Oryctolagus cuniculus: one gene and its partners. Each later gene encodes a partner of the first gene's protein in a complex. Links are inferred from orthologs where the notes say so. Each region holds a gene or a part of one and is shown in the gene's direction. Other genes may lie near its edges.

Region 1 (4,722 bases):
TACTGATGAATGGAATTTAACCAAACAGTGCAGGGCAAACCAGACAATGAAGTTCTTCCTTAGGGCTGTCCTTTTATTTGTCCACAAGGCAGCTTGTATTAGTAATCTATCTTATGCTTTCAAGGGCTTACTCTGTGCCAACATGCTTCTAAGTGCTTTGCTTTTTTTTTTTTTTTTAAAAAAGATTTATTTATTTATTTGAAAGGCGGAGTTACAGAGAGGCAGAGAAAGAGAGAGAGAGAGAGAGAGGTGTCTTCCTTCCGTTGGTTCATTCCTCAGGTGGCCACAACGGCTGGAGCTGAGCCGATCTGAAGCCAGGAGCCAGGAGCTTCTTCTCAGTCTCCCATGAGGGTACAGAGGCCCAAGGACCTGGGCCATCTTCTACTGCTTTAGCAGAGAGCTGGATCAGAAGTGGAGCAGCTGGGACATGAACAGGTGCCCATATGGGATTCCAGCACTGCAGGTGGATGTTCTACCTGCTATGCCACAGTGCCGGCCCCTAAGTGGTTTGCTTTTAACCTTCACTTAATATAACAGCCCTCTCAACAAGGTGCTTTTATCACCCCAGCATTAAGATGAGCAAACTTGGGGCCAGCGCTGTGGCGCAGCAGGTAAAGCTGCCCCCTGTGGCACTGACATCCCATATGGGCACCAGCTGGAGTCCTGTTGGAGTCCCGGCTCCTCCACTTCCAATCCAGCTCCCTGCTAATGCACCTGAGAAAGCAGGGGACGATGGCCCAAGTGCTGGGGTCCTTGCACCCATGTGGGAGACCCGGAAGAAGCTCCTGGCTTCCGATGGGTCCAGCACAGGCTGCTGTGGCCATGTGGGGAGTGAACCAGGGGATGGAAGATCTTTCTCTATAGCTCTGCCTTTCAAAAAAAAAAAAAAAATCTTAAAAAAAAAAAAAGAGAGAGCAAGCGTGAGTGCTCTGACGTCCATCTGAGACACTGAGGGTGAGGATGGCGATTCGGGCTTGACCACCTTGCTGCCAGGTTCCAGCTTCTAACGATGCCCTCTCCTGCCTTCCCCAGAAATGCGGCCTGCAGAGGTGCGGGGCTTCTCCAGGACCACCGCGGCAGCAGGCAAAGCTGCCAGCTGGGGACTCGGGCGGCGGCTGCGGCCTCAGAGCTGGCTGAGAGCAGCTGGGAGCATTCCTCGGGGGTGCAGCCCCGGTTCCCCAAAGCCGTGCGCTCACTCCCACTGCGAACTCCGTGAATCCTCACCCGCCTCCCCGGGTTAAGTCGATGGCCAACATTTACACTCGATCTCAGCCGTCCGGCCAAGAAGCGGTGAGGGCTAACATTTAATCAGCGCTTTCCTGACGCTGAGCAGTTGATTTTTCCCTGGAACTACTAAGATCCCATCTAATGGAAAAACACACTGAGGCTCAGAGCAGCGCAGGAGTCAGGATTCTCTCCTCGCTGTGCGACCCGTGGCACAGAGATATCCCAGGCCGCACGCAGTTGTTCCTCAGGGACTTCCGTCAGGAACACCCCCGCAGGGCCGCAGCCGGAGGGAGCCAAGAGGAAGCCTGTTCCCGTAAATACTGAAAGCGGCGGGAAACCCCGTAACTCCACACCTACCGCACGGATACCGGAACACCAAGGAGGCGGCGCGAGCGGGAACACAGGAAGTGCGTCACTCTGTGGGCGGGGAAGCACGCCGAAACCTACCAATGGGAGCACCGCATTCGCTTTCACCCCGCCTAAGGGGCGGGTCCGAGCCCGCCTTCCGGCCGTCTGTGGCGGGTGCTCGGGGGCGAGGGGTTCCGGACGCCTTCCGGGAAGAAAAAGGGGCGTCCAGAAAGGCGAGGAGGTGGACGGAAGGTGGGGTTGGGGGCGACAGGCAGTGGGGTTCCCACCTTCTGTGCGGTGACGAAGTGTGGAACTAGGAGGTGGGGGCTTGGGCGTCTTGGCTGACGGGGAAGCGGGCTGCGTGAGGGGCAGCCGAGGCTAGGAGGCTGGGGTCCGCTCCCCCAGCACACACACACGCAGACATTTTAGAATGGTGGTGGCAGGTGGTGGGGTCCGGGCTCGCCCTTCGGGGCCAGAAGCTCGCCTGTTTTGTATACGGCGCTTCTCACCTTGGCGCCAAGCCCACGGTCCCCTCCTCGAGCCCCGCGGCCACACAGGTGCAGAAGCCAGCGTTGCCCTGGGGTTTGGGGACGGTGGCGTGACGCACACGGCCGCCGTCGTGTGTCCCCCCTTGGGCGTCCTGCGGCCGAGCGCCTGCCTGCGCCTTCACGCGAGGGGGACGGAGACGAACCGCAGGTCGGCTCGCTGCGGGTCAGGGCAGGTTTCCACACTCGAGAACCAGGTTCTGCTTTCAGCCTGTTTGGGAACTGAGAAGCGGCGGTTGAGGGTCCCGGATCGTAGTGTTCTCGGAAACTTTGCCGGTTGCCTGGCCTCGGTTTTCTGATCTGTAAAATGGGCTGTGGGGACACGGTCGGACAGTGGTTCCATTGAGATCTGCTTTCTCCACGGCATTTCTGTTTAAAGATTATTTAGATAGTTGATGGCATGGCGGTGGTCCCTGACCCTCCCCTAAAGACCCTTTTGGTAGCCGTAAGGGACATAACAAGCACAAACCGACGTGTCTGCATTCGTCCCGCCTCTCGCAAAAAGTTCAGCATTTACTCTAGACCTCATTCTTCTAACGTTTCTTATAGATTTTATTTAATATGCTTATATCTTTTTGGAAGCACGAAGTGAAATGAGCCCACACACCCACTGCCAAGTGAAGAAACAGAACATCCTGGAACCCCCAGAGCCCCCAGTTCCGCCCCGTCCCCCCCAGATTCCTAGGGCCCCGAGTGCTGTGTGGCTCCCTCGTTTTTCTTTGTGGTTTGCACGATCCATGTAGGTATGTCTGATCAGTCCCATGTATGGTTTGCTGGCTTTTGGGTTTTATGGAAGGCGGACCCTGGTAGTTTTGTGTGACCTGGGTTTGCACACCCCGCTGTGTTTCTGAGAAGCATCTGTGCTGATGGGCGTGGCTGTGCCTCAAGGCCTTCATGGCTGTTTTGAACTCTGTGATTGTAAAATTGCTGTATGTGACAGTTCTACAGTAAACAGGCACTTCCACTGTTGCCAGATTCTGTTTCTTCATGTGCTTCTGTAAACGTTTCCAAGGGCAGATGTGGATTTGGGGGGATATGCAGGTTTGCTGTCAGATTGTTAACTTTAGTGGTTTTGAGAATTTTTTTTTATTTATTTTAGTTGCAAAGCACAGACAGGGAGATTTGTATTCCCCCAGACCTTGCAACAGCCAGGATTGCGCCAGGCCAAAGCCAGGAACCCAAAACTCAGCCAGGTCTTCTCCCCTGTGGGTGGCAGGGATCCAGGCACTTGAGCCATCACCTGCCGCCTCCCAGGGTGCACCAGCAGAAGCCATAGCAGAAGCAGAGGAGCTGAGATGTGAACCAGGCACTCTGATAGGGAACGAGGGTGTCCCAAGTGCTAGGCATCCACTTCCAGTTGTAAGAATTTGTATTCTAGGCTGGTGCCTGAGGTGCCAGCATCCCGTGTGGGCGCCGGTTCGAGTCCCGGCTGCTCCACTTCCCATCCAGCTCTCTGCTATGGCCTGGGAAAGCAGTGGAAGATGACCCAAGTGCTTGGGCCCCTGCACCCACGTGGGAGACCCAGAAGAAGCTCCTGGCTCCCGGCTTTGGATCTGCACAGCTCTGGCTGTTGTGGCCAATTGGAGAGTGAGCCAGTGGATGGAAGACCTCTCTCTTTGCCTCTGCCTCTGCCTCTCTGTAACTGTGCCTTTCAAGTAAATAAATAAATCTTAAAAAAAAAAAAAAAAAAAAAAAAAGGTTTTCGGCTCAGCCATTCTTTACAAGTTTTGCCTATCTAGTGGTTGGTTATTTCCCTGTGGTTTTAGTGCTGATTTCCCTGATAAACATTGAGATAGAGTATCTTTTTCATATGTTAGCTATGTGTACGTCCTCCTTTTGCAAAATTTATTGCCCATTTCCCCTTTCCTGAGTTTAAGGAGTTTCATCAATACCTTCGAGTTGGTGGTGTGCCCCCTTCACTCTCTGCCCCCTCACTGGTGTTTCTGGTGCACAGAGCTCCTTCATTTCCACAAAATCCAGTTGATGAGCCTGTGTCTTCATGGAGCTCGCTCTCTCTCTCAAAGCAGTCCTCTTTCACTCCTGGGCCACAGGGATGGTCCTGTCCTTTCGTAGAGAAGTCTTGGGCTTTGCCTTCCGCCTGCCCTTGGCCTCTAGAACAGACTTGTGGATCCAGTGTGAGGTACGCATCACGCTGTGTATTTTTTCATGGGGGGATAGTCTGGGGCGGTGCCTTTCCCTGACAAGTGTGCTTTGCTGCGGAGTCTATTTAACCAGCATGTCGAGGGTCCATGGATGTACACCTTTCTGAGTTTGTGTCTGTTCCCTCCCTCTTCACACACGCGTCCCTGTGCCACTGCCACAGGGGTCTCTGGCAAGGCAAGGCCTCCCACCTTTACCTTCCCAAGAATGTCTGCCAGTCTGCCTTCAGGTTTCCTATGGGAATCTTAGAATCATTTTGTCAGAATGTAAACGTACACAAAGCTGTTGGGAGTTCGATTGGGATTTCATTGATTCAGCCACATTGGATTTTGTCACCTTGAGCTTTGACATGATTGCTCTCACCATTGCATCTTCTAAGTATCATGTCTGCTCTAGCTATTTTGTAGATACTAGTGAGTAGACCAAGATGTTTTCTTTTATT
Region 2 (4,216 bases), on another chromosome or scaffold:
TCTCTCTCACTGTCTATCTGTCAAATAAATTAAAAAAAAAAAGCGAAGCAGAAGACTTGGAAGGCTGTGGAAGAATGAATGAGGTGTGAGGAAGGAAAAGTTGACTGTAAGGAGGAGAAAGAAAAGTTCAGAGCTCGGGATATTTTGTTTGCTTTTACTGATTGGGCGACCCTGAGTTTGAGGAGTAAAGTAGAGGAGGGGTAGGCTTAGAGAATTAGCAAGACAGTAGGAAGAGTAGTCAGAGAATTCAGAGTAGAGTTAGGGAAAGGTTCCTGTGAGTGAGCCAAGTGAAATGAAATTGAGGATAAAAAAAGATTTCTCATCTGAAGAAACAGTGCATGCAAAGGCTTGAAGAAAAAATAAGTAGACCAGAAAACAGAGGTACATTGTTGGTAGGATGTAGAAATCTGAGCGAGAATAGGGAAAGGAGATAACAAATAGAAAAAGATGCAACGAGGGCAAAATTACCAAGGGTTCCTTTCCCAACTTTTCTTTATTTAACAAGTGATAGATTTGCATGTGTACGAACTGAGTTAGTATGATGAGGTGGTGTCATTGATTGGGTGATGGGGCATTGGTCTGGGTTGAGGCAAGGAGATGGAAGAATCAGGATGATGCAAAAGTAATGCCTGGGTTTCTGATTTGAGTGATGGTGTTAGTGATTGATTCTCTTCACCAAGAAGCCATAGAAGTTTTGGATGGGATGGAAAAGATGGTGGATTTAGTTTTGAATGTGTTAAGCATAATGAAGGATTCTTTTAAGACTGAGCTGCTAAGAGAACAAAGTATCTGAAAAGACAAAGTGAATAGATGCTGTGTTTAGGAGTGAGACTGGAAAACTTGTAGAAGCTACTTTTTCCTTATGTTAATTACTTACCTCTGTTTATTTAGTATTATCTGGCATTTTGGAATCATTAATTTTTTGAAGCATTAAAGTTGAAGTGTGGTTGGTTCAATTTATATGGTTAGCAGCTGATAACAGGCTGAACAAATGTTCTTGGGGAGTTAGTCGATAGCTACCTGAGCACTAACTGAAATGCTGCAGGCGGGGCTGGCGCTGTGGTGTAGCGGGTAAAGCCCCAGCCTGCAGTGCTTACATGCCATATGGGTGCTGGTTTGCATCTGGCGGGTGCTGGTTTGCATCTGGCTGCTCTACTTCTGATCCAGCTCTCTGCTGTGGCCTGGGAAAGCAGTGGAAGATGGCCCAAGTCTTTGGGCCCCTGCACCCGTGTGGGAGACCTGGAAGAAACACCTTGCTCCTGGCTTTGGACCAGCGTAGCTCTGGCCATTGGGGTCATCCGGGGAGTTAACCAGCAGATGGAAGACCTCTCTCTGTCTCTGCCTTTCCTTTTCTCTCTGTAACTCTGACTTTCAAATAAATTAATTAATTAAAAAAAAAAAGAAATGCTGCAGGCACGTTGCGTTATTTTTGGGTTCCGGTTCAGGGTATTCAGCCCCAAGTCAGCTTGCTTCACGTTCTGTCGAACTGTCCTTTGCAGCTAATAAGAATGCAGGTGGAGTGCTAGACAACATCAGCTCGATGTTCTGAGGGAACATTGCAGAACATTTTTAAGCTGGGTGACAATACATCTTTTTCTCTCATAAGAATAAAATTGGTTTCACTGTAAACCAGAGGTAGATTCTTTGGTGACTCTTCTGGCAGCATGAAATCAGTGTTTTTCTTTGTTTTTACTTAATAACAAAATAAAAGCATTCTGTTGATATATACCTTCATTGGAATAAGAGTAATTTGATTGAATTGTTTTACATATTAAAATATGGTAAGTAGCCACTAAGCATTTTAATTCAGGAGAAGTACAAATGAAAAAAATTTACAGATTTAAGATAACATACATAAGATAACATAACATAACTGGTTGTATGAAAATTTGTTTGAAAATTATTTTATTTGTGTAGTGATCACTTTGATATTGTCTCATGAATTGTGATAATAAAAATAAATCACATCAAACTCGCTTTTTTCAACAGACTTGATTTTGAAAAAGGCATCTTATTTTCTCTCTGATGTTTGCATTTTAGATATGCATTATCACTTTCTCATTTCTTCCAGTGACTTTCTAACTATAAGTTGTAAGCAACCTGTAGATAATGTTGAATTTGTAAGGTGAGCTGGATTTTAAAGGAATTTGGGAAACTTGTAGATGATGATGTAAAGTGAGAAAGAGTGCTTTTATAAAGAACATATTCTTATCTCTGCTTAATAATTTCATTTCTTTATAATTCAGAACATATGATGTCTGCGAAGTATCTCCTGGACCCCACTTAAATATGATTATTGGAGCTAATGGAACAGGAAAGTCGAGTATTGTGTGTGCCATTTGCCTTGGATTAGCAGGCAAACCTGCTTTCATGGGACGGGCAGATAAGGTGAGTTAACTGAAGAACTTTTAAAGAAAATCTAAAACTGTTCAGTCCTTTTACTAACAAACAAGTTTATTTTTCTCAGTTTTATGAGTATAGTGAAGTTCTAGTGTTTGAATGTAAGGAATGAATTTAGCAGATAAGAGAAGCTGAAAGGAGAGTCTCATCTCTAGAAATGTTTTGGACTATATCGCTTGAGAACTCTTCATGTATGTAACACCTGAAATGCTAGAAATAATGTCATAAATCTTTTTAAAAAATAATAAGAATCTAAAGACATAGCAGACTTGAGTTGTTTTCTCAGGGACATTTAAAAACCTGCGTTTGAATGGTTTGCAACTCGTAGGGGACCTGAGATGAGATAGGGAAGTACTATAAGATAAAATCTAGAAGGCAGGCGGTATATGCAGCAGAAAAAAACACCAAAGGGGCAGTTGGGTTACTTAATTATCTCATTGGTCATTCTGAATACAGTGGGGAGAAAAGTCTTCCAGAGAATTCTTTTTTTTTTTTTTTTTTTTTTTTTTTTTTAACAGGCAGAGTGGACAGTGAGAGAGAGAGAGAGAGAGAGAGAAAGGTCTTCCTTTGCTGTTGGTTCACCCTCCAATGGCCACCATGGTCGGCACGCTGTGGCCGGTGCACCACGAAGGCAGGAGCCAGGTGCTTTTCCTGGTCTCCCATGGGGTGCAGGGCCCAAGGACTTGGGCCATCCTCCACTGCACTCCTGGGCCACAGCAGAGAGCCGGCCTGGAAGAGGGGCAACCGGGACAGAATCTGGCCCCCCGACCAGAACTAGAACCTGGTGTGCCGGCGCCAGTAGGTGGAGGATTAGCCTATTGAGCCGGGGTGCCGGCCCAGAGAATTCTTAACCACAAGCCTTAACATGCATTGGGGGCCAGAATTCATATTACCTATGTGGCTTAAATATCATAAATCCAAATTTTTAAGTGGTCTCAGTTAGTAATACCTTCAAGGTACCTGGCAGAAGCAAACATAACTATCCCTTCAAGGAAAATACTTTTAACCTAGTCCTCAGATGAATTCTAACATGAAGTTTCAAGAAATTCATGAGTCCATCCTAAGAAGTCATAAAACATGTGAAAAATGAATTACCTAAAATAACATCAAGCAAAAACAGACTGCATGATGAGCTCTGCAAAGCTCGTAGGAACAGATAGTAAACTAAGTATTTGTCATTCGCTTAAGGAAATAAAAGAAGATTGCAAATATAACAGAGGAATACATGACAAAAAGATCAATTTGGAAAAGAATCTAATAGAACATAATGAAATTAAAAATATATTACTTGAAGAAAGTTAATGGACAGGTATAGTATTAGAGCAAACACATGGGGCCAACGTCTGCAGTGCTGGCCTCCTTTTTGGGTGCCGGTTTGAGTCCTGGCTGCTTCACTTGTGATCCAGCTCTCTGCTGTGGCCTGGGAAAGCAGCAGAAGGTGGCCCAAGTGCTTGGGCTCCTGCACCCACGTGGGAGACCCGTGGGAAGCTCCTGGCTCCTGGCTTCGGATCAGCACAGCTCTGGCCATTGCGGCCATTTGGAGAGTGAACCAGTGGATGGAAGGCCTCTCTTTCTCTGCCTCTGCTTCTCTAACACTGCCTTTCAAGTAAATATATAAATCTTTTTTTTTTTTTTAAAGAAACAAATACAAGAGCTGGTGTTGTGGTATACCTGCCACCTAAGGACATCTGCATCTCATAGTAGAATGCCTGATTGAACTCACAGCTATGGTACTTCTGATCCAGGTTCCTGCTAATGCATCCTGAGAAGCAGTGGATAATGGCTCAAGTGCCTGGTCCCCAGACTTCAAGTGGGA
Region 3 (4,754 bases), on another chromosome or scaffold:
CATGAACTCACTGCCTGCAATCTGTCTCACCATGAGGGCATGAGACTTTTCTTCTACTTTTAATAATGCAAGCATCTCTTGTTAAATTTTTGAAGGCTGGGGAAGTTCAAACAAGATTAACAAAGAAGGAAATCACTTGGTTAAATCATCATATTTAGTTACATTATTATATATCACATCTCCTAACCAGGACTAGTTCTATTTTCCATGTGACAAATGGGATCGCCACAATCTGCACAACTAGGATGTGGCTAAAGCATTTGGTAAATGTGATGGCTGAAAGACTGGTCCTGAAGAACGGAATTCCAGAATCATCTTTCAAGATGCCTAACCACCTTGCAGTGACCTCAGACAGGCAGGTGGTTCCACAGGGTGTTAACCTGCAGCTGAGTCTCGTACAATTAGTCAAGAATGAGGTCCTCATGAACACCGCAGAAGACGCACTATTAAACCACCACTTGGCGCAATCAATGAAGACGCCGCCTAAGGACCAGTCTTCTCAATGTGGGCCCATTACTATCAGTATACAATGGAGCCAGAGATCCTCCACAATTCCCTTCTGTTCATTTCCAGGGTGCAAAGTGGTGGAAATTTTAAGCATTTGGCATGCAACCATGACTTTCAGTTTGCAAAGGCATCGTAGACAACACGCTTCCAGGAGGGAAGCATGGAAGAGTCACGCCGGGTACGCAGCAAGGGCAGGATAGCATTTCTTCGGAAACATCATCGCTGTGGATGAAACACTGTTTACCCTACTGGGAGCATAAAAGAAGATGGGTCTATATTTATCCTCCCACAAAACCTCAGTTCCATAATGAAGGAAGCGCTGGTCGCCCCAAACCCATTACCCTTAATAAAGCATAACGGTTGTTGATCAATTTAAATGTGACTGGCAGATCTCTTCCAGAAAAGTTCTGAAATGAGCCTGAGCCCTCTAGTCCGATTCAGGACTCCTGGCTGTGGGCAGAGGCAGTGAAACTTCTTCCTCTCTGCCCTTCCCTACGTCGAAAAGCGCTCCAAGCAATTGGAATTGGAGATCCAGCTCCATTCCTGGGTCTGCGCCTTTCTTTCCGAGGGACCATAGAGGAATCGGGGCCTTTATCCCCCCACCCCACCCCCATGCAAAGGACTTTGACATCTCCATGTCACAGTGAGAGCACTGAGGCGCAGGAAAGACCAACAATTTGCTCAAACTCGCAGCCCACAGCAGAGACATAATTCAAGCTCAGCACTGTCAAAGCCGCGCAGGAACCAGTTTTCTCGAAAGTAAATGGATGAACAACCACCACGCAGCAATGCTCCCGGAAAACTTGGAAGGATGAGACGCCGGCCAAACAGCGGGGTACCGCTTCCCACCGCCCCGAGTGTACGAAACGATTGCACCTAAGCGGAGATGATCAGGGGACTGCAGCCGCCGCCCCAGGAGGCGTCTGAGTCTCCTCCATCCCAGGCCCCTCATGCAGACCGCGCGCGACGCTGCAGCTGGCCCCTTGGCCAGGGCGGGGGAGGGGACCCGGGATGTGCAAGGAAGGGGCGCACACCCCGCCGGGGCTCACCTGTTAGCCGGACCGCGCTAGCGGCGCACGCGCAGGGCCGCCGGTCGCGCGCAGAGTCCGCACCCTCGTCCCAACAGTCTCTCTCCGCGGAAACCCCCGTGCGTCCCCAGCCCCTGATCTACAGCCGGCCAAACCCCGGCTTCCGCCCTTGGTTCCCCAGGCCGTCACATGACCCAGGAGGCGGAGAGCTGGGCGGGGCGTCATGTGACCACTTGCGGCGCCGGCTGATGACGCGCGAACCCGCGCTCGCCGTTTCAGCGACGGGCGAAGGGAGTTGAGGAAAGGATCGAGGATCCAGGTGTGGGAAGTTCAGGCGCACCCGGCGGCTATAGATTGGGCAGCAGGTAAGGCAGAAGCCGAGGTGGCGATGGGGAAGGGTAGCGGGAGTAGTCGCCTCCCGCTGGGGCGCTCGGCGGAGACCCGGTGCTGGGTTCTGTCCGCCCGGGAGATGGTCCTGGCCCTTTCTCGCTACAGCATTGAGACTGGGACAGTTTACCCCGGTCTCTGACGCCGTCTCTCCATCCTAAAGCCCTAAGAGTGTGGGAGAACAGGCCACCACTTTCTGATCCTAATAAACGTGATTTGAACTTGGTTCCAGGCATTTCAAATTAAATTTACTGTCGTTGGAGTTGAGTCTCTGGGCCCGGTTTCCCTTTGCTTCTGTAGAGTGCTGTGACGATTCACGACAGCGAGAAGGAAGCTCCGTGGCACCTGTCTGTGATACTCAGCAGATGTCCTGGGAGTGGCGGTTTCAGAGATTGGTATTTGTGTAATTCTCACCGAATCTTTGTCGATGGCCTATGATGTGTTAGGAGCTGTTTTGTATGCCATGTAAGTTGTTAGGATTCTAGTTTAAGGAGCACCCATGCTTAAGGAGTGGCAGCTGTGATGACTTTTATACTAGGGGTGTGTGTGTGTGTGTGTGTGAGTGAGTGAGAGAGAGAGAGAGAGAGAGAGAGAAAAGGAGGGAGGGAAGGAGGGGCGGGCTGTGAGGGAGGGAACAATCAATTGCATGGGTAAGAGACTGCCACAGAGAGAAAAGTTACATTCTAGCAGGTTGAAAAGGGAGTGACCGCTCTGGCTGAACTTGAACAAGGCTGCCATGGGATTTAGAGAGAGTCAGCATATTGTCTATAAAGTGTTTGCACAGTGCTGTATACAGAAAGATAAGAGGGAGCAGTAGGAAAGTATCTTTAAATTTTTTTCGTTTCTTAGTAATTGTGCCTACAGAGACTCTTACAGGCTTGTCAGAGGAAGGCAAAATAACATGGTAAGGAAGAACTGTTGTTCTAAACTGTTGGGAGAAGATGGGTAGAGAGCAAAAAGATGAGAGCCACCTGGGGAAAGATCTAAAAGGAGATTGTTTAAAACACTGTTTCTCAACCAATGCACTGTTGTTATTTTAGGTCACATAATTCCTTGTTGTGGGGGCTGTCCTGTGCACTGTGCCCACTGGATGCCAGTAGGTAGACTTTCCATCCCTTCCCAACTCCCAACAAACAGCAATGCCCAGGTAGGGGCCGGCGCTGTGGCGTAGTGGATTAAAGCCGCCTGCAGTGCCAGCATCCCATTTAGGCGCTGATTCAAGTCCCGGCTGCTCGACTTCCAATCTGGGCCCCTGCACCCGCGTGGGAGACTAGGAAGAAGCTCTTGGCTCCTGGCTTCGGATCAGTGCAGCTCTGGCTGTTGCAACCATCTGGGGAGTGAACCAGCAGATGGAAGACATTCTCTCTCTCTCTCTGTCTCTTTCTCTCTCTCTCTCTTTCTCAGCTCTGCCTCTCTATAACTCTGCCTTTCAAATAAAATAAGTAAATCTAAAATGCCTAGATGTAGCTAAGTTTCTGCCTGGAGAGGGACAAAATCCGCCCCCCGCACTCACCCAGCCCCAGCCCCAGCCCATTGAGAGCCACTGTCTGGTTTAAACCAAGTCTGGGAGGGTATCTTAGTCCATTCTGACTGCTCTAACAAATTCTATAAATTGGGTAATTTATATATATTTTAAAATATTTGAAAGGAAGAGTTACAGAGGGGGAGGGGAGAGAGAGATCTTCCATCTGCTGGTTTACTCTCTTTTTTTTTTTTTTTTTTTTCTTTTTTGTTCAGGGAGTTGGATGGAAGTGGAGCAGCCAGGACTGGAACTGGAGCAAGCCAGGGCTTTAACACACTGAGCCCCAGCACTGGCCCCGGGGTGTTTTTGAAACCCAGCCACCATATCGTTGTTTGTTCTTTATGGCTGGAAGTTATTTCTGTGTCTGGAAATCATTCTGGTTCTGTCTGCTTTGTGCAAAGAAAGAGGCAGCGGCAGAGCCGGGTCCTGGCTGCACCGTGGGGTCCCAGAGCGGGTAGAGGTTGTATATGGTGGTGTCTTCGCAGCAGCCGAAGTGGATGATTTGGTGTCCTCCAGAGGGGTTCCTGGGGACTTTGAGCCTGGGGTAGATGCTGAGGTGCGGGTAAGTGAGGCCCTGGGGGTAGGCGTCTTCAGGGTATCTGGCTGGTGCTTCCACTGGCGCCTGGAAGGAGTCGGGTGTGACTGGGTCCTCCAGGGGTGTCTGGTGCTGAGCTTCCTGCGGGGGTGGAACTTGAGTGGATTTTGCTCTCTTGAGTTTTGCTCTGTGGTTCTTGAACCAGACCTGCACCACCGTGGGGTCTATGTTCATTTTGGAGGCTACTTCTACCTGAAGGTCACGGTCTGGGTACGGGTTCTTACTGAACAAGATGTTCAAGTCTTCAAGCTGTTCATCAGTGAATACGGTTCTTTTCCTCTGTGATGTCTTGTTATATTTGCCTTGAAGGAAGTCCTCTGAGCCGGACATCTTTGTACTTCGACCCGTTCCCGTGTTCTGCTCCAGAGATGAGGACTGGCCCCGCTGGCATCTCCTGGGTCCTTGTGGAATGCAGTGTCGGGGTCTGCACCTCTAAATGGCCACAAAGGCTGGGACTGGGCCAGGCTGAAGCCAGGAGCCTGGAACTCCATGAGTCTCCCACATGGGTAGCAGGACCCCAAGCTCCTGGGCTATCTTCTGCTGCTCTCCCAGGCGCATTCGGAGGGATCTGGATTGGAAGTGGAGCACCTGGGACATGAGCCAGCATTCATTTGGGATGTCAGGGTTGCAGGCAGTGATTTAGCCCACTGCATCACAATGCTGTCCCCCAAACTGAGTAATTTATACACAAATTTATTTCTCACGATTTTGGGGA

The links.
Region 2: NSMCE1 (region 1) and SMC5 share a complex: the UniProt entries of both Homo sapiens proteins name them as parts of the SMC5-SMC6 complex. The link is inferred for Oryctolagus cuniculus from reciprocal best matches to the Homo sapiens genes NSMCE1 and SMC5.
Region 3: NSMCE1 (region 1) and NSMCE2 share a complex: the UniProt entries of both Homo sapiens proteins name them as parts of the SMC5-SMC6 complex. The link is inferred for Oryctolagus cuniculus from reciprocal best matches to the Homo sapiens genes NSMCE1 and NSMCE2.

Annotation. Positions count from the first base shown.
Region 1 is NC_091450.1:12,342,467-12,347,188, forward strand, and holds the start of NSMCE1 (non-structural maintenance of chromosomes element 1 homolog), read left to right. Parts: upstream 1-1,690; 5' UTR 1,691-1,827; exon of another isoform or gene 1,828-1,895; intron 1,896-4,722. UniProt on the Homo sapiens protein: RING-type zinc finger-containing E3 ubiquitin ligase that assembles with melanoma antigen protein (MAGE) to catalyze the direct transfer of ubiquitin from E2 ubiquitin-conjugating enzyme to a specific substrate.
Region 2 is NC_091432.1:160,209,354-160,213,569, reverse strand, and holds part of SMC5 (structural maintenance of chromosomes protein 5), read left to right. Parts: intron 1-2,246; coding exon 2,247-2,388; intron 2,389-4,216. UniProt on the Homo sapiens protein: Core component of the SMC5-SMC6 complex, a complex involved in repair of DNA double-strand breaks by homologous recombination.
Region 3 is NC_091437.1:150,739,599-150,744,352, forward strand, and holds the start of NSMCE2 (E3 SUMO-protein ligase NSE2), read left to right. Parts: upstream 1-1,741; 5' UTR 1,742-1,900; intron 1,901-3,796; coding exon of another isoform or gene 3,797-4,369; intron 4,370-4,754. Other genes in the region: divergent paired-related homeobox-like, read right to left, coding at 3,797-4,369. UniProt on the Homo sapiens protein: E3 SUMO-protein ligase component of the SMC5-SMC6 complex, a complex involved in DNA double-strand break repair by homologous recombination. Is not be required for the stability of the complex.